Linked DNA regions of Rhinolophus ferrumequinum. The protein of the gene in region 3 interacts with the protein of the main gene of each other region in a pairwise test. Links are inferred from orthologs where the notes say so. Each region holds a gene or a part of one and is shown on either strand. Other genes may lie near its edges. The genes, in order: KNSTRN, MPHOSPH6, NUPR1 and RANBP1.

Evidence for each region.
Region 1: the proteins of NUPR1 (region 3) and KNSTRN interact in a two-hybrid assay, tested with the Homo sapiens proteins (2 studies listed by BioGRID and IntAct). The link is inferred for Rhinolophus ferrumequinum from reciprocal best matches to the Homo sapiens genes NUPR1 and KNSTRN.
Region 2: the proteins of NUPR1 (region 3) and MPHOSPH6 interact in a two-hybrid assay, tested with the Homo sapiens proteins (2 studies listed by BioGRID and IntAct). The link is inferred for Rhinolophus ferrumequinum from reciprocal best matches to the Homo sapiens genes NUPR1 and MPHOSPH6.
Region 4: the proteins of NUPR1 (region 3) and RANBP1 interact in a two-hybrid assay, tested with the Homo sapiens proteins (2 studies listed by BioGRID and IntAct). The link is inferred for Rhinolophus ferrumequinum from reciprocal best matches to the Homo sapiens genes NUPR1 and RANBP1.

The regions. Positions count from the first base shown.
Region 1 is NC_046289.1:64,664,168-64,671,299, reverse strand, and holds the start of KNSTRN (small kinetochore-associated protein), read left to right. Parts: upstream 1-4,117; 5' UTR 4,118-4,128; coding exon 4,129-4,216; intron 4,217-7,132. UniProt on the Homo sapiens protein: Essential component of the mitotic spindle required for faithful chromosome segregation and progression into anaphase.
Region 2 is NC_046298.1:28,028,662-28,036,332, forward strand, and holds the start of MPHOSPH6 (M-phase phosphoprotein 6), read right to left. Parts: upstream 3,011-7,671; 5' UTR 2,926-3,010; coding exon 2,875-2,925; intron 1-2,874. UniProt on the Homo sapiens protein: RNA-binding protein that associates with the RNA exosome complex. Involved in the 3'-processing of the 7S pre-RNA to the mature 5.8S rRNA and play a role in recruiting the RNA exosome complex to pre-rRNA; this function may include C1D.
Region 3 is NW_022680357.1:1,129,454-1,136,201, reverse strand, and holds NUPR1 (nuclear protein 1), read right to left. Parts: upstream 1,963-6,748; 5' UTR 1,807-1,962; coding exon 1,695-1,806; intron 1,289-1,694; coding exon 1,152-1,288; 3' UTR 1,139-1,151; intron 812-1,138; 3' UTR 520-811; downstream 1-519. UniProt on the Homo sapiens protein: Transcription regulator that converts stress signals into a program of gene expression that empowers cells with resistance to the stress induced by a change in their microenvironment.
Region 4 is NC_046308.1:24,568,749-24,576,359, reverse strand, and holds the start of RANBP1 (ran-specific GTPase-activating protein), read right to left. Parts: upstream 3,003-7,611; 5' UTR 2,844-3,002; coding exon 2,829-2,843; intron 1,507-2,828; coding exon 1,370-1,506; intron 1-1,369. Other genes in the region: TRMT2A (tRNA (uracil-5-)-methyltransferase homolog A), read left to right, coding at 3,634-3,672, 3,838-4,394, 4,654-4,762, 5,033-5,214, 5,391-5,505, 5,603-5,718, 5,796-5,907, 6,496-6,618 and 3 more. UniProt on the Homo sapiens protein: Plays a role in RAN-dependent nucleocytoplasmic transport. Alleviates the TNPO1-dependent inhibition of RAN GTPase activity and mediates the dissociation of RAN from proteins involved in transport into the nucleus.

The DNA.
Region 1 (7,132 bases), on a different chromosome or scaffold from region 3:
ATCCAGGCTGCCGCTTACTTCCCACATCTGGAGGATTCAGTGGGGAAGGTCTTTGGAGGGAAATGCCAAGCTCTCCTTGTGACCTGCTAAGGGCTCGTCTGCCCCACAGTGCCAACCAGGACCCACCCTCTGGAAGGGGGAAGGCCAAATATGTAGCTCCAGGTATTAGGGGAGGTGGACCTGGCCCCCAGGCCAAGTAGCAAGAAGTCCAGTGGAACTAAGGGGCCCAGCTCTTGGGACCCTGTGGGGGTACCTCAGTGAGCAAAAGAGCCCTGAGGAACGTCAGTAGCCTCCTGGGCCTCACACCTTTCAGGGGCTCTTTAATAGGACACTTTCTTTTCTTTGGGGAGCTTCTCTGGGCCAGTATTGGGCTGGGGCTTCAATCCTGAACTGCCCTGCCCCCCTCACACACCCCAGTCTGACCAGAAATTCGTCAAGGCCGGGCAGAGATGGCAGCTGGGAGTGAGGCAGGAGGAGGAGCGCTGGCCAGCCTTGGAGCATCCCTGTTCTACTGAAGGCTTGTACCTCGTGGGAAGCTGTTCTGGCAGGGAAGAGTGGTCTCCCCTTGTTAACAGTCAGAATCCTTTCCATCCCTGCCTCTTTCAGTTTACAGAACACTTCCATACCCATTGTCTCCTTGGAATCTCACTTCACTATGGGGTAGCCTGCAGTTGGCTAGGCTCTTTTGCCCCTAATTTATAGGTAAAGACATCGAGACTAAGTAAAGTTAAGCAATTTACCCCAAATTACAAAGCTAGTAAAGGAGAACAGGTTTCCAGACCCACTCCACCACTACAACTCCCACTCTCCTCCTGGCTGCCTACCCCAGGGACATTGGTCTGTGGCTGTCCTCATCTTTTACCGCCAGCACCCTGCTGTTACCGGCATCCTCTGGGGTCTCTGAGTAAACTGCCCTCCCCCCCTTTTAGGCTTCCATCTCCAGAGAGAGCTACTCTGCGCAAGCCTGGAATTCCCCCATCATCCCTATGTGTCCTGCCTGATAGAGAGGCTCCCCTCCCACGCCCAGACACTGAGGACAGCAATAACTCAGGCCTACCCCATAGGGGCGCGTGTGAGTCTGAAGCTGTTCCCCAGGTAGGGTTCCCAGCTTCCAAAAGACAGGTCTCTCTGGTGGCCCTCAGCAGACCAAAGGCTGACTCCTCCCCCCCAAAGCAATGACTCTCTCTGGAAGATTTATCCCAGGTGAGAGCTCATGACAGAAACATCAGCAAGTTTACTGAATACCTGCTCTGCATATGGTACTGCAAGGGGACAGAGTCATGGAAGGAAAATCAACATCTACCCTCAAAGAGCTCAGCCTGTAGCTGGGGAAACAGCTTAAACGTCTGCACGAGCATCAGTGGGTCACTGAGGGCATCTGCCTGTCACCATCAGTATTGCTGGAGCTCAAGTACCCAGGACTGGGTAACCAGGAAGGCTTCCTGGAAGAGGGATGACTTGAGCTAGGCTTCAGAAGTCTTACGTATCTCAGACTGGAAGGAACCTTAACAATCATCTATTCCAGCAGTTTTCAAACTTTGTAGCCTCAGGACCTTTCTTCAAAGAATCTTTGTGTAGAAACACAGTATATAAAACATAAAAAACAGCTACTCTGGTGAGTGCTGGGTGGGGGAGGACAGAGCCAGTTCAGCCTCCTTTTCTGCTGTGCCTCTCAGAGGGCCCTGGAGAACCCCTCAACCTCCTGACTCCTGCACAGCATGTGGTGTGAAAACCCCTGACTCAGGCCATTTTACAGATGAGTATTACAGAGGGGGAGGGAGTTTCCCAGGGACAGTCTGTGGCAGAGCTGGAGACAAATTGGGCTGTTTTGTTTTTATCCTATATTGTGGAGACCCGCCTCGCACCCCAAGCAGCCCATGAAAAGTGGGACAGAAACCCAAATGAGACAGGCATTGTGGGAGAGACAGAAGACTGTGGACAGGGTACTTTGCAAGATAAATAACTCCCACCCATTTGACTCGACACCAGGAAGTGGAGGGAGTGAGTCGGACCTGACTTGGACCTGTGCCCGTGGGGGTCTGCTTGGGCCCCTCTCTCCTCATGTCCAAATGGAATTGAGCCTCTCTGGCTTCGGGCTGCTCCTCGGGGTCCTGACTTCTCGGCACCACAGACCATGTCCTTCTGTTATCACACAGCCAGGCTGAGAGAGCCCTGGCCTCACCTGGGACAGTCAGCCAGAGGGAGGACAGGTAAGCCCTTCCTCCTGAGCATGAGCAAAGTCTGGCCTTGACTCAAAAGAGAGTCCAGCATTGTCAATACTTCTCAGCAACTCACTGAGGTTCTTCTGCCCTGTGCTGTGGGAGGGCCCCCGGGACCTGGACCAGAAAGAACCTGCTCCTCTACACCCTCTTTTGTGTCTTTCTGGGGCAACATTGGTGTCTGGGACTGGAGCTTCCAAAGCTTTGCCAGAACACAACCACTGAAATGTGAGAGCCAGGGCACGGGGTGGGCACCAGGGATTTGGGCACACCTGAGGACCTTATCGGGGATTTCTGGGTCCCATTCATCCAGGCCATGGCCATACAACCCTACTGGACGGCAGAGGAGCCACAGAAGCTGATGTACTGACTGGATTTGTTCTGTGTGCCTCTGGGCCCAAAGGACTGGAAGAACCCAGTGGCAATCAAAAACTTCACCTCGTACCAAGAATGGCCTACACCCAACAGCAGACACCCCACTTCAGCGGGTAATCCAGCCTGCCTCCCTAGCCCCAATTTTGGAAAGCATGATTTAAAGCATTTTCTATTTCCTTTGAGTTTCCGCGGATCTAGTCACTTTGTTATTATTGTAGGTGGTTACAATCAGCCAGTGGCCCAGGACCTGTGGGGAGAGGCTTAGACGCATGCTGTGAGGCCAGGGAAAACCAGTCAAAGCATTCACATTTGGTCTGGAAAATTCAAGAAATGGTCTCTTACCACTGAGACACTTTAAAATACAACTACATTGACACTCATTTGGGACTTGAGAGTGTTTCTCCTATTCGTGTCACAGATCCTTGAACTCACAGATTATGTGTGGTGTGTTTTTAACATGTAACTCGGTATAGTTTGTTACTGTGGGAAAACCTGTCCTTCCATGGCTGTGGCGCTTTTGTGACAACGTTAAACAGAGATTGATTTGACTCTCAGAATCTTAGATTCTGGCACATGGCATATGCTATACCATGGTATTTAGGCAACATCCCAGCTTGAGCCTGATTCTGAAAACGACATCTCATAAGAGATTTATAAGCCAAACTTGCTCAGCCCCCTGCATCTCATTCCATTCTTCTCCCAGTGAATGACGGACAGGGAGGCAGAGGAGGGGTATCAAGAAAGACGATACATTGATTTACAGCCTTCAGCCGTTGTCTGGAGAATTCCTGTTCTTTTATTCCATGGTGGCCTCATCTCGGCTTTGGATAATACACATGGCAATGCCAAGCCCTCTGGCACCCCTGCCATGCATCAAGATCCCGTTTGCTTGGGGATAGGAAAAGCAGACATTCCTCACCCTTTCTACCCTTACCCTTGTTCATAGGGGCATCGGTAACTCAAGGAGTGGAGGTATTTATGTTTAAGAGAAGAAATTGTAACACAATTCACCAGGAAGATGAGAAACAAAAGAAAGCCATTATGTGCTATGTAAACGGCTAGCTGTCCCAGGCCACCTTCGCTGAAGAGCCCTGGAAGGACTTTGATAAACTTATAATTATTATCAGGCCTCTGTGTGGTTATTCATGTTATTCCTCAGCGTAGGAAAAAGATCAGCATTTTACCAAATTCACAAACATTGAATAAGAGCTTCAGTATTGCTAAAGAAAATCACACAGGTGGGCAGAGTGATGCAGATCTGAATTCATGACCTTCAACCTCAACTGGAACCTCAGCCCTGCCTAGCTAGTTTCCATTCTAATTACTAGTTTCCATTGTTTGTAATGACCATTTCATACTTTCTCTACCTTCCCCAGATATCTGACGCCCTCCACCTTCCACACCTCCACTTTCAGTAGACAGCTCATCCTTCATAAAGAAAACTGGAGGTATCAGATAGAAGTCCCCAACTTACCTCCCTCTGCGCCAGCCTGCTTCTCTCCCCATCCCTTCTGTTACAACAAAGGAAGCACTAATGGCTCTATCAATGGCTTCACACACTGCACCAGAGGCCTTCAAACTAAGGCTTGCATTCCCACAGCGACATGAAGTTTTTCCAAAAGGTAGGTAGACACAGACAGTTTTTAAGGGAATCGATTTCCAGAACTTCTTCCTTCATAAGTTCCCTCTCCTCTTATTGATCAGCCTAAGAAGGAGCCTTAGGTCAGCCAGTTCTGCTTGATCTCCACTTTCCCAACTGACTCCCTCCTTCATTTTGAATCCTACTCTGGCACATTGCTCTGCAGTATAAAAAAACAAAAGGACTACTTGAGAGTACTCGGCTTGAAGAAGTCCTTGAGAGAGCAAAGCCTAGAGAGTTGGCTTTGAAAAATTTTGAAGGGGACAGCCCTGTAGCTCAATTCTGTGCCTTCTCCATTTAATTTGAATTCTTTATTTTAATTGAAAAACAAAATTTAAAAAAAGTTTTTTTAATAAAACAAAATCTGACGTTTTCTGATGGAAAGTCAATCTCATTTGGCTGATGGGTTTGACACAGAGGACTGGCTTTGCAAATAGGATATATGGTGGACATTTTCCAGAAATGGAATCATTTAAATCTGAAGCTTCATGGTTTGAACAAAAATATATTTAAAGTACATATACAACTTCCCCTTGCAGCCAAGATCGAGTAGCAGGAACCAGATTTACCCTCCTTTCTAAAACAACCCCCCAAACAGAAACAACAGTTTTCACAACTCTGGACATAAGACAACAAAGGACAGTGATCCTGATGGACAAGAAACAAATGAGGTGACCCTATGATTGCCTGGCTTACTGCTTGAGAGAGTTTCCAGGATGTATTGCAGGGAGGGAGAACCCAGGCAGGGCCATGCAGACTTCCTGAGCTGAGGAGATAGCTCAGAGTTTGGGGCAACCAAGGTAGCTAGAGTGCTCAGGACAGAATACTGGAGAAGAGAAAAGTGCGCAGAGAGAGAAAGAGAGAATTCTGGAGATCTGCAAAGGGCTTCCCTCAAGTATTCAGCAGAACACTGCTCATTATATAAGTGTGAGGAAACTATTTAAGACCAAGGAAAAAGAACCATCAAAATGATTAGAGGGAACAGTAGCCACTAGTCGCACAGGGCTGGAACATTACCTATTCCCATTAGCCAGACTGGAAAACCTCATAATTTATGGAGCATTGGTTAGAGTTCTCAGAAGGATCTTGCCTCAGTAGTGAGGACTCATTAGCCCTAGTTTAAACATTGTTCATTCCCACCTAACAAATCTTAAAAGCAAGACCTGACAGGATCAAACTCTTTCTAAGTAATGTAACTGCATCCCAGAACAAACCTCCAAAATATCTACAGGAACACAAAACCAGCACTCAAAAATGTAAAATTCACAATGCTTGAGGTCTAGTAAAATTACCAGTTATGCAAAGAAGCAGGAAAATATGACCCAGAGTGAGGAGGAAAATCAATTGGCACCAACTGAGAACTGATACCTGTATGAGTCACCTGACAAGGACATCCAAACGATTATTATAACTGTATTCCATATATTCAAATAGCTAAGTAGAAACTTGGAAGATATTTTTTCAATACCCAGATTGAACTTGTAGAGATGAAAACTAAAATGTCTGAGATGAAAAAGCAATGGATGAAATTAAAAACAGTTTAGACATTGCAGTAAAAAGATTGGTGAACTTGAAGACATAGCAATAGAAATTATCCAGAATGAAATACCAAAAGAGAAAAGAATTTTAGAAATGAATAAAGAGCATACATAATATATAATATTGTGTTCCCCTAAAAATAAGACCTAGCTGGACAATCAGCTCTAATGGATATTTTGGAGCAAAAATTAATATAAGACCCAGTCTTATATAATATAATATAATATAATATACCCAGTCATATATTAATTTTTGCTCCAAAAGATGCATTAGAGCTGATTGTCCAGCTAGGTCTTATTTTCAGGGAAACACGGTAGGTAGAAAGTGTGTCCTTTACAAATATTTACAATTATGAAAATATTTAGGCATTAACTACAAATGGGTGAGAGGGTACATTGTTTTTTTTGTTTGTTCATTTTATTATTTGTGGGAGTACATGAACAAAAGAATTTGAAGATGCTGCTGTAGACCCCAACGTCCTTTCCTCTTTCTCTATGGCTTTGCTCCTTTGATCATCCCCTCTGTCCTCTGAAGCAACCTTTTCTTCCTCTCAGCTGACTCATTCCCATTGGCACATGTATCAGTTAGGATCTGCATCTTCGAGATTCCCCCCAGCCCACCTCCAGTTACTGCCCAATTGCTCTGCTCCATTCACAAACTCTCTATACCTGCCATCTGCTCCCCCAGCTCTCATGTACTCTTCAACCTGTTCCAACATGGCTTTCACTCAAACCCCTCCACCAGAATTTCTCTTCCTATACAATGACTTATTTGTTGCTAAATTAAAGGCTCCTTTTTATTTCCCATCTGGCCTGCCCTTTCCGTTATTTTCAATAGTTTACCACTCCCTCCTTCAATAGTGCCTTACTTCTTCCTTCTTAGCTACTAAGATACCACCATTGATTTGTTTTCTTCTCACCTCTCTGGCACCTCTTTATCAGGTCTCTTGGCTGTCACCTTTTTATTGTAACCTTTAAATGCTGCTGTCCCTGTCGTTGGCCCTAAGTGTCTCTGTACTTTTTCCCTCGGTGATCTCATTCAATATCATGGATTTAAATGCACCCATATACACATGACTCCCAAGAGTGTATCTCCAATCTAGACTCTCCTCTGGGCTCAAAGCTGGTATTTCCAACTGCCTGCCTGACAGTTTAAACACTTGAATGTCTCAGAGGCATTTCAAATTTACCATGTTCAAAACTAAACTCTTAATCTCCCCCAACACAAAATAGTGAGTATCCACACAATTATTCAAGCCTGGGAGTAATCCTTCAGATCGCCTTATCTCTTATCCCTCCTCCCCCCGCCACTTCCAATCTAGCACTGAGTCCTGAGATTCACCTACAAAAGCCAAGTCTTG
Region 2 (7,671 bases), on a different chromosome or scaffold from region 3:
TTTAAGTCCCGATGTCTCATTTCATCACTCATGTTCTTGGTAGTAAAACTCACCAATCTTGCCAACTGCCCTTTTTTCCTCCTATTTTTAAGTCAAGTAGACATTCTTTATGGTACACAAAATAACCATATACATACAAGTATGTACAGAAACACACACACACACACACACACACACATTTCTAAGCATATGGAAAGGATAGAACACCCAGTTACTATGGAATAAAGCAACTCCAGACTCAGACAGAAATTCAATTCTTCTGACTCCACAGCATCTAAGAACACACTTTAAAACTAGTGATTTAGCTGTACTCACAACTGAGGACCTTCAGCAGGTATCACAAACTGCAGCCCTTAGGGTTGACTTCTGTTGTAAATAAACTTTTATTGGAACAAAGCCACGCGCATTTGGTTCTGAGGTACAATGGCAGAGTTGAGTGGTTGCAACTGAGACTGGCCCACAAGCCTCAAGTATTTATCTGTCTCTTAACAGAAAAATGTCTTAAGAGTCCAAAAGAACTAAAATCACAAATAAGCACCCTCACTACAACAATTCCATCATACCGACAGACATTCCACTGACATTCTTCACTTTTTACTTCCCATCAGGATCAACCTCCAGCCCAACAGCTGACCCAAGTCAGAGGACTTCAAGTACACTGGAAAACAACTGAGTCAAGATTAAATCCTCCACCCTCTCCTTCTTGCTCTATACTTAGCTCTGGCTGAAGCGCTATACTGTATACTGCAACATCAGGCAGCTGCTTCATTCCTTCTCATAAAACATTCCACTCTGTCTGTATATATAGTGTCTCGTGCTAGCCTTTCAATAAGTTCTTTCTTATCAATGCCCGAAGTTGTTAACCCAAATAGAGAACCTGGGTATTTTTTTCCCTCTCCTTTGCTTCCAATGTGTAGTCGAGTCTCTCTGAACCACTCGCGTTAGAGGTGAATAATTTTAGTCAATTTCTTCATTCCTACTTCCAAAGTCAGGGCTCTTTGATCTGAGCCCTAATCACCCAGTACGGCCTCATTTGACTTATCCAAGAGCTAAAACAACTGCTAAAATCTTTTCAGGGTCTGCTTTGTCAATCCACTTCACTTCTTTGAAATCTACATGATTACATACCATAAGCCACAAGAAAACTGTTCAGTAAAGATTCAAAGTTTGCTAATATGCATGAAAGAAGTACTTTGGAAACTAAATTATGCTATGATTTACCCGCTACCCTCACCCTATCCATTCCTAGTTACACCTTAGCTCAACTCCACTCAGATTTTGCCCATCCAATATTTACTGTCCAATCTTTCAAAACATTATTTATGCCTTGCTTCCTCTTCTTGGAAATTCCACAATTCTCTAAACACGACATTTAACAGTTTACATCTATAAGTATTCAGCGACCAGAAGTAGTTAAGAGCAAGGGGCTCTGGTACCAACTGCCTGAGTCTGAGTCTTGTTTACACTTCTTATAAGCAGTAACTTTGGGCAAATTACTTCCCTGTTTCAGTTGCTATGACTATTAGAGAAGGATAATAACTGCACTCACCTCAAGAGTTATCACCGTGTTTCCCTGAAAATAAGACCTAGCTGGACAATCAGCTCTAATGCGTCTTTTGGAGCAAAAATTAATGTAAGACCCGGAATTCTATTATATTAGACACGGTATTATATTATATTTTATATCATATTAGACCCGCTCTTATACTATATTAGACCCAGTATATATTATATTATATTAATTATATTATATTATATGACCCGGTCTTACATTATAGTAAAATAAGACCGGGTCTTATATTAATTTTTGCTCCAAAAGGTGCATCAGAGCTGATTGTCTGGTTAGGTCTTATTTTCGGGGAAACACCGTATATGGATTTCTTGAGTTGATACATGCAAAACATTTAGAACTGTGTCTGGCACACAGCAAGAACTGTAAATGTTTGCTATTATTATTTAAGTTTTAAGGATTGGTTGTTTTTCCTATTTTAATTCCTGTATTTATTTTATCTATCCTTGTCTTTTTCCGCCATTTTGACATTTGGTTAAATTGATCCAATCTGAAATATAAAAATCAATTTTGCTTAACGTTGGGTGACATAACTCACTTTCACCTGAACTGTTATAATTCCATTGCAATGCCACTGTGCCCCTCACTCAAATCATCTAAACTTCTAGATGGTCTTTTTGACTGCAATTTTGTCCTGTCGAGTCTTTCTTTCACCAACGTATTCTTCACAGGACAGTTAATGTAACCTTGAAAAGTAAGAGGCACAGCTGATAACTGCTACCTGTGCTCCATAGCTTCCCAACACTCACAAGGTAAAGAAAACAACTCCTTAATCTGGCCTAAAATTTCCTGCATGTTAATGACCCGCCTACATTTCCAGGCCCATTTCTTGCTACTTGCCTTCAGGACATAATGAATTATCTTTAGTTCTTAAAAATCACCATGGGTTTTTGGTTTTTGCCTCTCAAACTTCTGAACTCGCTCTTCCCGCAGTTTATGTTGTTAGGTTCCCCACCCTCCCACCTACCCTTCAGTCTCTAGGACCACTTCCCGCAGAAGCCCACGTTAAGTTCCCCGAGGTGCGGGCGCTTCCAGCGTCACCGCACGTAGTACGCTGTATCCTAACTGCTCGCTTACGTGTCTGCGTCTCCCACCCGCCGGCTTTAAGAGAGAATACGCCGGATTTCTAATCCGGTTCCCAGTGCCTAACGCAGAGCAGACGCTAAGGGAATGAATGAGCGCGAGAGGTGGATGCCCTCCGGCGCTTCTCTGGCGCCCCCGCACGCCCAGTGCCTCGGCCTCGGCCAGGCCGGGAGAATCAGGTGGCCTTACCCTCCCGGCATGGCTCCCCAGTGTCCCTGTACCTTCATGCGCAGCAGGTTCTTGGACAACTTGGTCTTGCGCTCCGCTGCCATGCTGGCTTCCGCTAGGCCCCGCGCTCCTCCAGGAGCCCCACTGCGCACGCGCGCTGCTGCGTACGCAGCGGCGTCATTTTACGTAGAGCGCGTCTCCGTGCCTTGTGGCCCCGCCCCTGCTTCTCGTGGGCGAAGGCGTCAGGGGCTCTTCGCGTGTCGCCTCAGGGAGCGCATGCATCTCCTAGAAGCTCAGGGTAAGGGCGCGACCGCCCGCCACGGGGGCAGAGAATCTTAACGCCGGGAGGGAGACCCCAGAGAGGCTGAAGCCGGAGGAGGGCGGAGCTCTGGTCGCTGCGAGCTGTCGGCTGCCTTCCCCTGAGGGCTTCAACCCGGCCCCTCAGGCTCCGCACGGGGCAGAGCGACCCAGGGCCTGGCAGTGGCGAGTCCCACCCCGCTTACGGACTCAGTCCTGTCGCGCGTCGTTGACTCAGTTGTCCTCGTGAGACCTTTGAGTCGGTTGCCTCCCCATCCTTTTCTTTCACGTGTTTCTAACACGGATGGCGGGCTATGTTCTGCATCACATGACGTGTAATAGTTCATTTTATGTTCACGATAACCCTGTAGGGTGGTACTGTTCTTATCCCCGTGTTGCAGTTGAGGAAACTGAGGTAGAGGGAGGGTCCTTCGCTAGTTCGAAGTCAGACTGAGGGAGGTGGGTGTAAGCCCTGGCGCTCTGGCTTCAGCAATACAATGGAAAACCATGTTAAATTCACCTGTTAACTGTTGTGTGCGTCTTTGAACCGAAATGATCTTTCTGTTAAATAGGAAGAATAGCAAGAGATAATCAAAGATACATGAGGGCGAGAACACAACCTTATTTCCAATTAAATCGTTGAAAAGATGATAGCTTCAGTGCTCTGTACCGCTAAACATTTTGCACACCTTTCACAGGTGCCACACTTTGGGAAACACCCAGCCTAATGGCATCTCAGCTGATAACATGCGCTACATGCCAAATTCTTGTGCTGGGTACCATACGGGTATTATTTAATCCTCGGAAGAACCCTGAAAAGGTGTTACTGTCATCATATATTTAGGGAATCGGAGGCCCAGAGAGGTTAAGGGACTTGCCAGAGTTCTCACAGCAAGTAAGTGTTACGAGGGGAGATTCGGAAAGCTTCATGAAAAGGTAGCCCTGCCTCGGAAGGTTTTCTCACTGGATTAAATAAAATTACAGTTTGGTAAGTGGTTATCAAAACTCATTCATTCACCACACTGTGTGAGACACTGGGCTAAACTCTGTGCTACAGTAGTTCAGAAAAACACATGACCTCCTTTGCCTGGGGCTGACATTCTGGTGAGTGCCATGGAAGAAAGAAAATGAGGAGGTGACAGTGACTTTGGGGGTTACTTTAGATAAGATGGTCTGAGATGGTTCTTACAAGACCATCGTGCTAAGGCCTGAAAGTTAAGAAAAACCTGCTGTATGAAGCATGTTCTAAAAAGAGGGACTAGCAACTGCAAAGGTCCTTAAATGCGGATGCGAGTCGTCATAGAGTTGACCAAGTGGGAACAATAGAGCTAGTTACCTGTTATGGGTTGAATTGTCTCCCTCCAAAATTCATCTGGATTTTGTCTCAGAACATGACTGCATTTGGAAATAGGACCTTTAAAGAGGTGATAAGTTAAAACGAAACCTTTAGGGTAGGTTCTAACCCAATCTGACTGGTGTCCTTTTAAGAAAAGGAAATTTGGACACACAGGAAGACCCCAGGAATGCACACGCACAGAAGAGAGGCCATGTGAGGACACAGGGAGAAGGTGCCCATCTGAAAGCCAAGGAGAGAGGCCTCAGGAGAAACCTAACCTCCCTACACCTTGATCTTGAACTTCCAGCCTCCAGAACTGTGAGAAAGTAAAGTTTGGTTGTTTAAGCCATCCTGTCTGTACTATTTTGTTATGGAAGCCCTAGCAAACTAATTACACCATATAATTAGCTATAGATTACAATTGTAATAAGAGTCCTATAGAAAAGTGCAGGGTTCATGAGAGGGTGTAGCAAAGGTATGCAAACCATTCTGGCTTGGAAAAGGGAAGGCCTTTAAAGGTGTGACATTTAAGTTGAGAGCTGAAAGGGAAGGAGTTAGGCTGGGGAAAGGCCCTCTAGTCATTCAATTTGGTGCTACCATCATTCCCATTCATCCACAGAACACTTTTCGTCTTGTAAAATGGAAACTCTGTACCTATTAAACAATAATTCCCCATTCCCTCTTCCCCCGGCAACCACTATTCTACTGTCTGTCTCTGAATTTGACTTCTCTTCAGGATTTTGAAAGAAGTTCTGTGGGATCAGAGGTGAAGAAGTCACTGCCATCTGCATCCAAGAAACAGCTGACTTTGAACTAGACCTTGAAGGATGAGCACATATCTTCTCAGTGTAAAAGGATAATAATTCCTGACAGAAATAAGAGTATATGTACACTAGCTAAGGATGCTAGAAACTCCACACCTTCCCTATGGACCTCTTGCACACTGGATTTTGATTTGTTTTCCTGAAACATTGACTTCATTATGTCACTCTCCTACTCCAATATGTACAATAACTGTTAGCTGAGGGATAATGTTCAGATTCTCCAACCTGTCATTCAAATTTCTACATTTTTATTTGACAGTGAAAATATTTATAATTAAAACTAATCTTCAAAATCTCTTGATACCCATCAAAATGTAATGAATGAACTGATTTAAGAGTATGTGATAATGTAATTTTAACTTTGAATTAAACTCTCTGATAGGGAAGGTAACTGATCTCTCTATGCTACTAAATTGTAGAATAGAGTCTGGGTCTCACAATAATGTGTTAACCTGTTTTAGTTACACAGCCAAGGAAACATCATTTTGGGGAAGAGAAATTTCTATACATATTCTCACAATTCTGAATCCTTTCATAATGGAATTTCTGGGAAGTATGAAAACTTCCCAATTCCTTCCAACTACTACATCCATCAAGAAAAGGTCCCGAGTCTCTTCACTCTTGTAGCCAATTATATGTAAGGCTATTCAGCCTAGTACAGTAGGTGTACTCATATGTAGCTACCAAACAGTTAAAATGTGGCTAATGTGACTCAGGAACTGAATATTTTAGTTAAATTTAAAAACTAGCAGTATAAAATATTTTCCTGTTATACACATTTTATGGTCTTGGAAGGACTGCATTTTACTTTAACTTTTGAAAATTTAGCATTTGAATTGAGATGGGCTGTAAGTGTTAAAATACCACATTTCAAAGACTTGGAGAGAAAAAAGTAAAATATCTTAGTATTTTTTCATATTGATTACATGTTGTAATAATAGTTTTGACACAGTGGTTCAAATAAAACCTATCATTAAAAGTAATGTCAGCGGTTTCCTTTTTAAAGCGGCTGCTAGAAAATTTAAAATTACATATATGGCTTGCATTTCCCCCTTCTTCTCTTCCTCTCTCCCCTTCCTTCTTTCCTTTCTGTGTTAGCTTCTGTTATTTTGTTGTTTGGCAAGTGCCCGACATTGATAATAGCTTATTAGCTATTATCAAGATAAAATGGGGGTTTCTTAGAAGGATACTGGGTAGTTCATAGAAGTAATGAAAAGGCCTGAGAGCAAGGCCTAGTTAACGGGATGGAAACCAAAGTGGTCCAGGGATCTAGTAAGCAAGAATTTAGTGCCACTGAAAGAATGATGAGCACCAGCTGATTTTTTTGCTCTTAGGATACTCAAGTTTTCAAAGTCTACGAGAGAGTCTCATTGAGTCTTAGCTAAGAGAGGGCAAGACCTGATTTATAGTCCATGTATTAATATATAAAATGGAGAAGGGAAAGCTTTTTAAAGAGAAATTGGGTGCCATAACCCAAAGAAGAGATAATCCTTAAAATAGCAAAAACAGCAACGGCAAGGACAAATATATACTTAAGGCAGGAAAGAAGAGCACAGCCCTGAAGGACAAATAATTGGTAGAGTGTCAGTTGAGAAACTAATAGCCAACATCAAATCTACTCTTTCTCATAAAATGTGCTCCCTCTTCCTGCTTCCCTATTTCATTTAATAAGCAAGTATTTATTGGCTGCCTGTTTATATGTAAATTGTGACTCGAGGTCAATTAGCCTAAAAATCGAGTGTAATATAGCCCTTCCGCTCTTACATTCAGCTACTTACCAAGTCCTATCAATTTTTTGTGGCTATCTTGGCTAAATTAGAGCATTAATGCAAGAAGTGGCCTTACAGGACACGCAGGTAAATAATTACTAAACTTCAGTTAGTGGTTATGACAATGGGAGAATTAAATATGTCAAAACCAAAAATTATTCTTGATTTTTGGGTGATTCTGATGGTCAGCCAGGATTAGAAAACTACTGAGCTGGGTGAATCTCCTAGTTATATATACAAAATTGTGTCAACTCAGAATTTAGATTTGTGAACCTTCCATTTAGCTTTCTTTTTGTTGTACTCCATTCATCCTTTCTTTTCCATTGCCATGAACCTATCCCTGAATTTAATGGCTAAATCTTACTACTTTCTGATTGCTATAGACTCCTGTTTTTTCCCTGACTCCTGCCTTTTTCATTCTTTCACAAATATTTTGGAGCATCTCTGATGTTCCTGGCCTTTGGTAGGTGCTGGGGAAACTACCCCTTCCTTGAGAGTATGGATACAGGTCCTAAATACTGTCACAGAGATGAGTTATGACAGGGAACCTAATCTGGATTTGAGAAGATTGGAGAGACTTTCTTGAGGAAGTGACATCTACACTGACACCTCAGGATGAGTTAA
Region 3 (6,748 bases):
CTGACCTCCCAGACCGCTGTCCTGGCAGCCCCCTGGGCAAAAGGACCCACCCCACACTTGAGGACAATAAGCATCCTTGAAATTGAGCCCTGAGGAAGTTGGGGCAAGTCCCTTAATGTTTTAAGACTCAGTTTTCTCCATTTTACAGATGGGCACTGGTAAGGAACATTTACTCCCAAAGCTGGTTTTCTGTGAATACAACATAATCAACAAGATCCTTACTCTGAAAATGGAGAGGAGCTGGGGAGGGGGCTTGTTTCCTGAGCAGTGTTACAAAGCAGCAGAGGAATTCCCCTGCATCCCATAAAAGACCACAGAAACGTATGCACCCAAAGACATGCGTATTGGAGCAAACACGCAAACACACACACCCCTCTACACGCTCCCACAAAACCAGAAGTCCCCCCTCCCAGATACAGAATCAAATGCAGACGCTAACAGAAGACGCTCGTTGGTGGTGCACAGCAGACCCACGCAGAACTGTGTACCAACAAAACCACACACGAGGACAAAGCAAGCTGCAGCTCTGTGCTTTGTTTATTGTCGCCGCCACCCCAGGGAGCTCCGGTTTCTTCGGTGTCTTTCTTTCGGGGCGCACCTTCGTGACTCTGCCTCTCTACTCCCTACCTCTTGCTCCCCATCTTGCCCTTTTTCTGGGGCTGGGGGGCACTTCCTTGGTGGCCCCTCAGAGTCTCTGTGGGGTAAGTCCTGGGGATATCGTTGGGGGCAAGCAGGCCTGGAGCCCCCCAAGGGGCTCGTTCCTGCGTGGTCGCGCCTCCATCGCTGTGTGGGGTCTGTGCTCTGGCCTCATCTGGGGAAGGAAAGCAGGTAGTGAAAGGGACAGAGGTTTCCAATTCTGCCTTTCCTCCTCACTTGTTCTGTGACTCCAGAGAAAGACCCTCCCCTCTCGGGGCCTGTTTCCCTCCCTGTAAACCAGATTTCCCTCCAGTAAGAAAGGGTCTACAGTTCCCTGCTTTGCTCTGGTCACTAAGAAACTCAGAGTCAAATGTATGTCGCGTTTTATTCTATGTTGAGACAACCGTTCTTTGATCCCTCCTCCCTACCCGACCACGCACACTCAGCCCTGGCCTTTGGAGGCAGAGGCACCTCCGCGGTCCTCGAGCCCCGGACCCCTTACCTCCAGCTCTGTCTCAGAGCTGTGCCTTCTGCTTTTTCCGCTCCGTATTCTGAAGCTTGGTCACCAGCTTCCTCTCGTGCCCACCAGGGCTGGGGTGGTTGGTATGGGAAGCAGCTTCTCTCTTGGTGCGACCTTTCCGGCCTCCCGCTCCTGGGAACAAAGGCAAGAGCCTGAGGTGAGGTGGCTGGAGGCGTGATGAGAAGCCTCAGAGGAGAGGTGGGGGTTCGGGGTGCAGCGCTTGGGTTGGAGTAGGGAGTTGCAGGGTGGTCACCACATAGCTCTGGGGCAGTCATCGTCCCTCTTTCCCCATCTGAGAAATGAGGGCCGCCCAGGTGAACTGTTGTTTCTCCAACTTTCTAGGCATGTGTGAGGCCCCAGAGCTGAGTAGAACACTGCTGAGTGGATGAGGGGTTCAGGGAACAGGCTGGAAAAGGGTGAGGGGTGGGGAGAAGTCCAAGGAGGGGTCGTACTGTGAAGGGTGGGGGGTGTCAGACCATTTGTAGGACATGGGCGTCAGAAGTGGAAGGACCAGGAAGATGGCAGGGCCAGGCCTTACCCAGGTAAGAATGAGCCAGGCTGTAGAGGTCGTACTCATCCAGGCTGTGGTCTTCGTCCTCGGAGCCTGGGGGCTGCTGGGATGGGCTGGCTGCTTGGGGGAAGGCGGCCATCAGGTCTGGCTTACTCTCACTGTCTCTCTCTCTCTCTCTCTCTAGCCTTCTAAAGCTTTGTTTGTGTCTGATCTCCTGACAGTTCACTGGATCCAATTTATAAGGCCACGTCTCTTCCTCAGCCTGCAGTCTGGCTCCAACCCCTCAGGCCCTGCCTGATGCAATCGGGCTCTTTCCCAGAACCAGTCACGAGAGGAAAAAAGAGTGAGTCCCAGCCCCCGCTTGCCTCCTCCCTCTCACTGGGGCTGCCCAGCTGGTATTTTCCACAGAGGAGATCCCCACCCCTCAGGTAGCAGGAGGAAAATGACCAGGGATCCTGGTCAGCGAGACCAAGGACCTCACCTGGCCCACCCAATCCTGTCCATCTCCTGCCCTCTGCCACGTGCCCCCTCCACGCTTGGGGTCTTGGCTACACAGCTGACCCTCACGTCCACCACAATTCTGGCTCAGATTCAGGACCGTGGTGGCAGAGTGTGGAGGGAAGGATATGGGGAGAGGATAGCAACATACTATGTGCTAGGCCAGTGGTTCTTCTCCCTGTCACACCCAACACTCCTTTTTTATAAGAAACATCTTGGGAAGCCTCCTTACTATCCTGAACTGGGCCCCTGGGTCACTTTCCTCCTCTGAGAGGGAGGCCAGAGAGTGGTTAAAAATGCAGATTCCGGAGCCAGAGCTCAAGCCCCTGACCCACTACTTCCTGTGTGACCCCAGAAAAGTCACTTCACCTCTCTGTGCCGCAGTTTTCTCCTCTGTAAAATGAGGATGCTAATACTTGTGTCCACCTCCCAGAGTGGGTGACAGGGTCAAATGAGATCCTATATGGAAAGGCCCTGGCCACAGTGCCTGGTACACTGTAAGCTGCGCTATGTAAGAGTTAATTCCAAACAACTCGGTGGAATGCGCTCCCCGTAATGTAAAGGAGACAGAAAAGGAAATTAATTTATAATAAAATAATATCTATTTCAAAACACAGATACACCGAAGTAGAAGGCATTCTGAAGTAAGCAGATGTTTGTACCCCTGTAATAATGAACTAAAGGAAGGGGTTCGGATAAGAAACATGTGAAAGTGGAATTTTCCACTCTTGCCGGAAGGCTCTGCCTGTGGGTCCTGTGGCCCCACGGAAGCCACACCCCCAGTTGCCCACTCAAGCCTCAGCGGAGGAGGCTTCTGTACCAGCTCCCAGCTCCCCCGGTCGGGGGCAGGGAAGGAGGCTTTTCTCTTCTTCTTTTTCCTTTTAAACTCTGTGGTTTCCAACACAATCTGACCCTGTCAGCCCAGCCCAGATGTTCATTCTCTGCTCACAACCCCCACTCAGCTGTGAGCCTATTGAAACACTATTCCATCTAAACTTACCTAAACCGCATCCTTCCCCAAGCTCTATAATAACCCAGTTTTGTCCTCTGTTTAAGGAGAAGTAGCATCAGCTGGCGTGTCTCCCTGGCCTGAGCCAGAATTCAATTTAGCTTTTGTTTTCCAGATTTGGGTGATCTGTAAGTTCTTTACTGTCCAGGAAATGAAAAGACAGGAGGACAGGAATAAAAACAGAGTTGGGATAACAATAACAGAACAGATGTTAAGAGAAGGCGAAAAATAACCTTAATTTAAACAACGATACCACACGGAGACAAGTGAAGGTGGAGAAAATTAGGAAATACTGTTCTTGCTAAGTAGTGGCTTTATCACTCAATCAGTAGCAAAATAATTCCATCATGACATCGGACGGGGTAGGTTCTAGGCTCAGTTTTTTCGCTTCAAGAATATCCAGCAGGACCGTCAGACGTTGTGCTGGACGTGAGACAATTCTGTGTGCAACTGTCTGGTTCTGCCTCCCTTGTGACAACCAAGAAATCCCACAAATTCCCGAGCTGCCCCTAGAGGGCGATCTTTCACGCATTCGCTTGGGCCCCTGGGACCGGAGATTCCTCGTGACATCCTGGGCCCACTTCTGAGTTTGCTCCTCTGTAAAGGCAGGATAGAGACCGGGCTCAGTGTGTGACAGGGCTTTGCCCACAGTCGGGCACGTGGGGTACGGCAATACCACCCCTGTCCCCCCCACGTTCTTCAAAGAAGGAAACCCAACGCTGGGAATGCAGCTTGTTCAAGGTCAGGCGGCTGGTGCGTGGGAAGGAACCCTCCCCCAGTCGACCTGATCTCCTTTCCGAGCTCGTTCTAAGTCAACACAGCTGGCCAAACACTGGCACTGGTTTGGCAGCTGTGTGTGGAGGCCACCTGTCAAGGATTCCTCCAGAACAGTTAGTCCCTGCTTTGGACCACGTGGGAAGCGGAGGTCGCGCGGAACTAAGTACCACGTGCGATCGGTGAGCTCAGCGCCATGGAGAAGGGATATTTAGCAAATCAGTGCGCATGCCTGTCCAGAATATCACACACACCCACTTATCCTATATCCCATCCCCCTGATGTTACAGTAGTACCCCGGTTTTCCAACGTGTCCGTTGATGAACATTTTGGCTTACCAACGCGGTAAAACCAGAAGTAAATGCTTTGGTTTTCGAACACGCTTCCAAAGTCGAAGGTGTCACGCGGCTTCTGCTGAGTGCAAGATCCTGAGGCCTAGCTGTCGGCTGTTTTCCAAAGTTTCAGAACTCCAACGGTCTTCCGGAATGGATGTTCGAAAACTGAGTGTGGGGACAGAGTTCCAGAGAGCACTTTCCAGGCTCTCGGCCTCACGTGGAAAGGTGCTGGCTCGGGTAGTAGATGGCCGTCAGCTGTGACTAATTGGCCATCAGCTGTGACTGGTTGGCCATTCGCCACTGATACAACTGCTGTGACTATGCTGGTTGGTTGGTTGGAAGGCAGAAAAGCGGACGGCGGATTGCGGGTCATGTGGCTCCTGCTTCCTGTGTCTCACCCAGCCGCCAGTGAGACTGGGGTGCAGAAAGATCCCCTTGTTGGGGTACTGGCGGATGTTTGCTTTTGTGTCTCCGACCCAGCCGCCAGCGAGAATGTAGTGGTAGGTCTCCCCTATCTATGGCTCCGTGAGATGTGCAGACGTCTTTGGCTCAAAGCATCAGGAGTTTCTGAGGCCGAAGGCAGGATATGTAACCACGCTGGATTGTTGACCTCGCTGTAGAACCAGGGGACTCAAAAAGCCTAAATGAGGCGAAGCAAGTCTGTGTGACCTCCTAGCCCCAGTCCAGAGGAGCCCACAAACCCCACAGCGGTGCTTGCAATTATTCTTGGCTGTGTGACACCATCACCTTGAATATAAACAGATGCTGTCTTTCAATACGCGATTTGGCAATATTGATCAGACTGTCCAATGCACAGAAACCCTGATAATTGTGGTTCTACGTACAAATGTCCTACTGAAGTGCTCCCAGCCTTGTGGTAGCTGAGAAAAACAGGAAACACCCTAAGTGTCCATCAGTAGGTGACTGATCAGCCTCCGTCTGTGAAATACTCTGTAGCCGTTAAAAAGAATAATGTCTCTAGCTCTGAAGAGAAAGTTGTCCATACTACATCGTTGAATGAAAAAAGCAGGTTGAAGAACGTTACATACAGCATAATCCTAGTTTTTGCATTAAATGTATTGAAATAAGACAGATAACTGTAATACATTGTTTTCAGCATAATATAGGTGTCACCCATTTCTCCTGGTTACTAAGGAAGATAGATGATGGCCAGATAAAACAATGGTAGAAGAATCTAGAGTGGTACATGTTATTACCGGAAGTCTCCCCAGAGATCAGCAAATGCAACCCATTTAACAGATGAGGAAGTAAGGACCAGAGAGGCTAGCATTCTCCACTCCACAAATGTTTAGGGAACTCACTATGAAGCAGACACTTGCTCAGTGCTGGGTTATAAAAGAAAGCAGAACATGACATGCGTACTCGAGGGGCTCACGACAGCCCATTGGCTGATGGTGCATGTTCAATTGCAAGGTGCACCTAACCCAGGCTTGTGAGCAACTCCCAGAGAAGGTCACGTGTGAGCTGACCTGGGAGAGAGGAGCAAAAGCTAGATAGACCAGGAGGTCATGAAACAGTGTCCTGGGAAGGCCAAGGAGAGGACATGTATAGTGCATTTAGTTAACCAAAGGAGTTGGAGTACGGCGAATTCTACTCCTGGATTCAGGAGACCATAGTCTCTTGTCCCCAGTTCAGTGCAATTGAAGCAGGGGCCCAGCAGGGACCCCTGCAATAGGAGCCTGGCTTCCCTTTTCCTTAGCCTGTGGCTTGAGCTCAGGATGCCTCTGGGATGCCCTGCTCCCATCTGGGCTCGTAATTAATGCCTGTATACTTGTTAATTGAAAACTCGATTGCTCAGCATTCATCCCAGGCTACTCCCATCACCAATCCCAGATCGCAGATGCCACCAAAAACTTACAATGACAGAGAGAGGCACCGCGAAGAACAGACCTCTGGGACTGTCATGCAGTCTCTGGGAGAAAGCCCTGATTTCCCTTTAAATACCCCCAAGCCGGTCTGAGAACATTAAGGCAGTTTGGAGGTGTTAACCTGCTGCCTTCTCGGCGCTCTGAAAATAAACACTTATTCCAAATAGCCCAGCTCCTGTGTCGGTCTATGGGCTGAGCTGAACCCTGGACTCGGTTGCCCTCTGGTTTCACTATAATTAAAATACTAGGTACCGGTCTCTCTAGGTCGATAGACCAATGTGTGATGATTCAGCACATCTATCGATATTCTGGCATAGCAAAGAGGAAGCATACGTGGCTTGTGCTTCCCCAGGTACAGACATTAAGGTTTTCCAAACCCTGCTGCTTCAAATATCTCTTTAGGGGAATAATCACTTCACAGTATAGATTTCCATTTAAGCTAAAATGTTTATATCAACTGGGTCATGCCCTAGAGGTCTTACATCTGGAAGGGACTTTGAGGGGTCATTTTGTCAATAGCGGGAGGGCAGTGGGAGCAACCCAACACTCTAATGCAGGCCAAAAACTGGGTCATTT
Region 4 (7,611 bases), on a different chromosome or scaffold from region 3:
CCCAGAGAGGGAGCTACAGGCCTCAGCTCAGGCCACCAGGCTCTGGCCCAACATCCCACCTCCCTGCCCAGAACAGCACCTCACACCGGGCCATGCAAGGCCCCCATCCCAGCAGTCCTGCCCTAGGGCTCAGGCTAATGTTTCCCAACCCCACTGACCATCCTGCCCTTTTGCTCCCCATCACAGGACCCCAGCTCTGCTGGTACCTTTACTGAAGAACACTTTGCTCTCCCTCCCAAACGCAATTCTGTTAAGAGAGATGATGTTCTCACAAGGCCACCTCCAGAGCTTTGGCCTAGAGCCCCAAGGGCCCAGATATAAAGGCCCTACTTGCTGGCTTCACTTCCCTCAGGAAGGACTCGTGTCTAGGGCACCAGGAGCACTTCCCACCTTCTGTGCGGGCAGGGAGGTAACAGCAATAGCTCCACCAGCAGTCCTCACTCTTGGGAGGAGCCAGCCCCTGGCTGCAGCATCATTTCTGGACAGAGCAGAGACCTGGAGAACCAGTGTTTTCAGGGCAATTCCACCACCCTGAGACCAAAGAGGGGTTTGCCACCTCTCCTTTCCCAGGCCTTTGGGAGTGGTGGGGAGGGGCTGGTCTCCCCCGTCTTAACCTGGTATCTTGGATAGATCTGAAGAGGGGCAGGCGAGTTCCACAAGCTTGGACAAGGGAAACACTATCACCATTAACTTGTAACTGAACCTAGCATTTCTTGCAATTCTGAGCATAAGCAACAGGCCACAGGCTGGGCAGGGCTGTGACTTTGTTGCAGACATCTCAACAACACGTTGCTAGGGCAGGCACTGCTTCAAAATAACACCTGCACTGGAGCTTCTCACTGAAGGCACCAAGAAGCACAATTAGAGTAATTTTTAAAAGTAATCTTGATAATTCTAACACCACCCACTTTTGTCGTAATTCCAGGCATTAATTTTGTGCATTAAAAACATAAATCAGGGATTCACAAGCTACAAACTGCCAAAATCCATGGCAAAAATATTAATAATAACGGAAGTAAAGGTAGAGACTCCCTGCTCAACCAGGGGAAAGGGGCTGTGGGAGTCAGCTGAGACACAAAGGAAAATACACCCTGTGAACACAGCAGAAGTGACAGGACTCTAGGGAGTGTCTGTGCCCTCCACAGCACTGGCCATGGGGCAGCAGTGGCACCCACTAGTAAGTAATCTAATAAGTGGATTCTAACAGCAACCTTGATTTCCACGTAGTATTAGCCATCACACAAGTCTAGGCCCTTTCTTCAGCCTCACTCTGATTAAAGGTCAGGCCAGAAACTCGACACCCATAAAAACCTTAAACTGCATCTTCAACTAACAATATTTATTTCTGAAGTAACATCAGGTCACTTACATTTTGAAAAGCTCCTCTTCGTCTTCTTCCAGCGTTTTAATTTCTTGCTCGGGAAGAGAAACTATAGGCTCAAACTGCGGGTCGTGGTTGGACTCATCTGCATTCTCGGTGGAGGTATCATGGTCCTCATGGGTGTCCTGTGGAGGGAGGTGTGGAGAGGTGACTGCTGGAAGTGGCCATTCGCACTGGTGAATGGCCTCATCCCAAAGCAAGAGATTAAGCCCATAGCCTTTCACACTAGGAAAGGTTTGCATGTACGTCCAGCATACAGTGAGACGCTGGACTTCAGCATCGTCCCCCAGATGCATCAATCATATTTGACTGGGATGCCTAAAACTCGGCTACCTATTGGTGGAATGGCCTGAGAAACTGCCCCATCTCTTTGAGCCTCAGTTTCCTCATCTATAAAATGTGGATAAGTGATACTGCCACGTGAAGACCAAAAGACACAATGAAGGAAGAATTGAAGAGGGCCTCAAAGGCAATTTCACCCTTAAAGCAAAAAAACAACCCTAAGAGTTTTTACTGGCTGGGAAAAATCTGTGCTCTTGCTTACTAGAAGAAAAAAAAGTTGGGACTGCTAGTTTTACACAAAATTCACAGTTCTGTCAGCACCTTTATGTTGCTTCAGAAACCAAGTTAATAAGTCAAAAGACAACATACAAATAAAAGCCATAAAATGCTGGTCCATTTTAGAGAACTATAGAACACAAAGGATCTTATGTTAGATCGAAGTGTTTACAGGACGAGTGGCTTGGTGAGCTATAAAACCAAAAGAAACCAAGACACTTCACTACCAGATGTAAGCCGAAAAAGAAAAGATAAGCCTTCGCTGCTTTCCTTGGTTGGAAAGCACTGCGGCTCGGCCGCAGCCAGCTCACCCAAGCAGCCACCACGCAGCCAACAAAGCCGTCCCCTCCCTGGGTCGGCGCGTCCAGTACCCGTCCACCCCGCTGGAACGCGAGAGGTCCTGCCGCAGAGGCCTGTGGCGGATCGAGACTAGGACAGAATGAATGAAGTGCTGCGCAGACGACGAGAAGGAGGGATGCATGGTCTTGGTAAGAAGCCCGCAAGTGGGCCGAGCAGAGGAAACCCGCCACCCGCCCTGCGTCCCTGGCAAGCGGTGAGAGGAACGCGAGACCAAGGAGTTGGGGCGGCGGGGCCGCCCCACGTCCTGATGGAGCTCGCCCGACCACCCGGGGCCGCCCCAAGGTCACGCGGGCACCCCGCAGCCCCCGGGCCCGAGCCCGCGCCCCCAGGTCCCAAGCGCCCCCGTCTCGAAGGCCTCGAACCCCCAGGCCGCGCTTCCCACAGCCCTACCCCGCGCCACCGAGACCCCAAACGCCGAGACCGCAGGACAGCGGGGGTTGGCGGCGGCGGCGCGGGCCGCCCACGTGGCCGCCAATAGCGGCCTCGGCCCCCCGGCCCCCGTCCAGTTCCTGCCCGGGCCCAGCCGCACCTTGGCGGCCGCCATGGAGGCGCGGCGGCGGCGGCGGCGGCGGCTCGGCTGGCTTGGTCGTCCCTGGCTCCGCGGCCTCTCTGCGGCTAGTCGTAGTTCCTTCCCTCCGCGTCTGGCGCCGGCGCCTCCCGCCCGCCCGCAGTTCCCTCCGCCCCGCGACCCGAACCCTGACCCCTGACCCCAGCGGCGGGAAACGCGCCGTGATTCAAAACCAGTGCAGCTTTATTGGCTCAGGCGACGGACAATCTCATTGTCCGGCCCACCCCGCGCTTCCCGCCAAAACGTCCGCGGCGCATGCCTGGCCCGCCCGGACAGAGCAGCGTGAGCTCCCGGCGGCCTTCGCGCGCACTTCCGCCCCACGGCTGCGCGCGCCCCTCGAGCTTTCGAAAGCAGGCGACAGACACCGGGGTCGGTGCCGGCGCACAGCGATGACGTCGACGGAAGCTAGGATAATAGACACGCGCCACCTAGTCTGCACGAACTGGCCGACGGGAGAGCTGCGGGCGGGGAGAGCGGCGTGCGCGGGGCCTCTGGCGGGCGGGAAGTGTACCCCATACCCGAGACCGTGGACCTGAGCACCTAGGGTTCCAGTCCTACCCACTCCCTCACGGGGCGGGACCGGGGGCGGCCTCTCGGCGCCGCACCTGTGCTCTGAGCGCCTTCTGTGCGCCAGGCCCAGGGCGAGGAGGCGGAGGCGGCACTTGTGGGGCTTCCAGTCCAGGCCTTGGACAAACTGGACGATGAATGATAAACTCGACAACGAAGTAAAGTGAAGGGAGATCCTAGCAAGAGACGCGGGGCCGAGATGGCGGACTGCGTGGGAGGGGCTGGAGGGGGGGGAGAGGTAGGAAACCCGTGGGCACGGGGAGTTGAGCTGGGAGAGGAAGGAAGTGGGGGTAAAAAGGGGTAGGTGTAGGATGGGTGTAGGATGCACTAACGGAGGTTTGGGTGTGCGGCCGGGGAGCCTGGGCGTTCAGCCCTCATCCTAGCCCTGCCTGTGTCCACACAGGGCCCGGGGCCAATGGAGGGCTGCGACCAGGACAGCAGCAGTGCTCTGGGCAGCCCTGCAGCCCCCGCCCCCCAGAAGGAGACGGAGGAAGAGGGGGCTGGGGCGGCTGCAGAGTCAGGGCCTCAGCCTGGGCTTTACAGCTACATAAGGGACGACCTGTTCACTTCGGAGATCTTCAAGTTGGAGCTGCAGAACGTGCCACGCCGCACCAGCTTCAGCGATGTGCGGCACTTTCTGGGCCGCTTTGGCCTGCAGCCCCATAAGACCAAACTCTTTGGGCAACGTCCCTGCGCCTTTGTGACATTCCGCAGTGCCGCTGAGCGGGACAAAGCCTTGCGTGTGCTGCACGGTGCTCTCTGGAAGGGCCGCCCTCTCAGAGTGCGCCTGGCCAGGCCTAAAGCTGATCCCATGGCCAGGAAGAGGCAGCGTGAGGATGAGAGTGAGCCACCAGCCACATGTGTGGCCGATGTGGTGACTCCTCTTTGGACCGTGCCCTACACAGAGCAGCTTGAGCGGAAGCGGCTGGAGTGCGAGCAGGTGCTGCAGAGGCTCGCCAAGTGAGTAAGGGCACAGTCACTTATGTGGCACTGGAGTTCTGCTCAGCTCCATGTTCACTCAAGCCCATCCTGTGCACTGTACAGACACACTCAGGGTCTGCACATTGTCTTGGGGAGCTAACCAGTAAGACCCCTGAGTTACCAGTGGGGATAATGAGGTCCCAAGGGAGGTTCTGGGTGCCTGGGTATTTGGAGAGTGATTGGAGATGGGTTGGGAGCAGCAGGCTGAGTCCAACCCCGGCCTCACCTCACCCTGCAGGGAAATTGGGAGCACCAACCGTGCCCTGGTGCCCTGGCTGCTCTCACAGAAGCACAAGCACAACAAGGCCTGCTGCCCGCTGGAGGGAGTCAGGCCGTCACCCCAGCAGGTCAGGCCCACAAACCTTCACCCCATGCTCTTAAAGAAGCTATCTTAGTCCATCTCTCCCATCCCTCCTGCTTTCCACTTATTCCTCATACTCGTCACGTGACTGCTGGTTGCTGTCAGCCTTGTGCCCTGGACTGCCAGGCCCTTTGGGGAGCTGGGACCTCTCACTCGTTGCCATCTCTCACTTCCTGCAATTTTCCCTCCATGTACAAGTGCGGGAATGCCAGGGTAAGGTCAGGAATGTCTCTGCCTTCCTCCACCCATTCTGCAGACCGAGTATCGTAACAAGTGTGAGTTTCTCGTTGGCGTCGGGGTGGATGGGGAGGACAACACGGTCGGCTGCCGGCTAGGCAAGTACAAGGGTGGGACATGTGCTGTGGCGGCCCCCTTTGACACCGTGCACATCCCCAAGGCCACCAAGCAGGTGGTGAAGGCCTTCCAGGATTTCATCCGGTGAGGACTTGTGGCTGGGCTGGGGGCTCCGGGATGTCCTGCGGTGGTCTGGGAGCAGAGGGCCGGGTCCTGCCTGGTGGGTGTGGCCGAACGAGAGGAAGGTAGGCTGATCTCCCAATTCTGGTCAGCATGGGTGGCAGGTCTCATGGACTCACGGCCGCTCGTGGCTCCCACAGGTCCACTCCATACTCGGCGTACAACCCAGAGACATACTCAGGCCATTGGAAGCAGCTGACCGTGCGCACCAGCCGCCGAGGCCAAGCCATGGCCATTGCCTACTTCCACCCTCAGGTCTCAGGCAGGGTGGCCCTGCTGCGGGAGGGTGTCCTGGCTTGAGTGGGCTGCATGCAACACAGTCTCACAGGACCTTCTCTACTTCCTACTCCAGAAACTGAGCCCTGAGGAGCTGGCAGGACTGAAGGCCTCCCTGGCGCAGCACTTCACAGCAGGGCCGGGCAAGGCCAGTGGCGTGACCTGCCTGTACTTTGTGGAGGAGGGACAGCGGTGAGGAGCCTGGGTAGGTGGTGGGCTGGATTCCTGCCAGAGCTGGTGACACTAACCAACTGGCCTACCACCCATAGGAAGACTCCCAGCCAAGAGGGCCTGCCCCTGGAGCACGTGGCTGGGGACCGGTGCATCCATGAGGACTTGCTGGGCTTGACCTTCCAGATCTCCCCTCACGCCTTCTTTCAGGTAGTCCAGAGTCCCCGTATCTTCATAATCAAGACACAAAGGGAGTCCTGATGTGACGTCAAGATGTAATAAAGGCAGTGCGCTAGGCGGTGACAAGTTGTTCACCTGCAGAGGTCTGGGGGAGAGCATCCGGGCTGTGAGGTCGGAATGAAGTCGTTTGCACTAACTAGACCCTTGTGACGAGTGTGCTTGAGGGCCCTATGTGGGGTGTAGGAGTTGGCGATGCCAGGGCTCTTGTGTGAACTGTGATGGAGTCATCCATGCCTGCTGCTGCTGTGGGTGGCCCCATACATCTGGCACTCAGTTCATAAGTTGGGGGAAGAAGGGGTCAGCATCAAGTTGCTTTTTAAGGCCCGGGCCCTGGGTGAGGTTATGCAGCATTGGTGTATGGAGGGGCAGTTGGAGGTGGGGAAGGGGTGGGAGCAGGAGACCTAGGAAAAGGGGGAGTAAGCCAGGGACTGGGCCACAGGTCTCCTAGCAGGGAAAGAGCCCTGCGGAGTACAGGCGTGGTGGGGGCGGCAGGAGGGGAGGCTGACCTGGGACGCAGGACTGCTCTGACATCCTGCGTGGTGCTGGCCCGCCCTCCAGGTAAACAGCCCGGCCGCGGAGGTGCTCTACACGGTTATCCAGGACTGGGCCCAGCTGGACTCCGGGAGCACAGTGCTGGATGTGTGCTGTGGCACTGGCACCATTGGCCTGGCCCTAGCCCGGGTGAGCCCTCCTGCCCCAAGCTGAAGACACCTTCTGCCTACCCCCACCCATGTGCTATCACCTCTTCGTGACCCCCACTGACCCCCACCTGAAAGACTGAGGTGAACCCCCAGCCTGTCCCAGAGCCTCTTCTCCCCATAGTGCCTCCTGCTACTCCCCTCCCCAAGAAGCCCCCAGGGTGGGGCAGGGCACTATCAGTCTGTGCCCTTTCTTCACTTCAGAAAGTGAAGCGAGTCATCGGGATTGAGCTGTGCCAGGAGGCTGTGGAGGACGCCCATGTGAATGCCCGCAACAATGGTGAGAGCCAGCGCACCAGTGGGCAGTCATCTCAGCACAGCACCTAAATCTTATTTCATGGCTTCTAGGGGCGGGGTGAGGGCAGGGCGGTGTGCAGAGCACAGCAGGGCTCCTGCTGTGTCCATGTGTGCCCGCAAGGCCCGGGCTGTGTGACACAAGTGCTAACAGGCTCCTTGGCTAGAGGTTTTCTTAAGGTGCCTCAAGACAGGGGCATCAGGACACCAGGCGGCTGGGCAGGCCCGAGGGGGTGCGCGGGGGCGGTGTCCTGCGTCCCGACAGGGCTGCTGTGCTATCTACAGAGTTGAGCAACGTTGAGTTCCACTGCGGGAGGGCCGAAGACCTGGTGCCCACCGTGGTGAGCAGACTGGCTTCTCAGCAGCTTGTTGCTATCCTGGACCCGCCTCGTGCTGGCCTACGTGAGTGGCATCCATTTGGGGATGATGGAGAAGAGGGTAGTGACACTGGCTGGCACACCAGGCTGTGCAGCCTCAGGCCTGATGCCCATGCTCACTAGCCCCACCAGCCCTCCTTGAGGTGGGGACGTTTCCCTGAGGGAGTCTTATTTCCTCAGATTCCAAAGTGATCCTGGCCATCCGCAGAGCTGAGAACCTCAAGCGGCTCTTGTATGTCTCCTGCAACCCCCGGGCAGCCATGGGCAACTTTGTGGAGTGAGTGTGAGGTGGGGGCCCCGGGTGG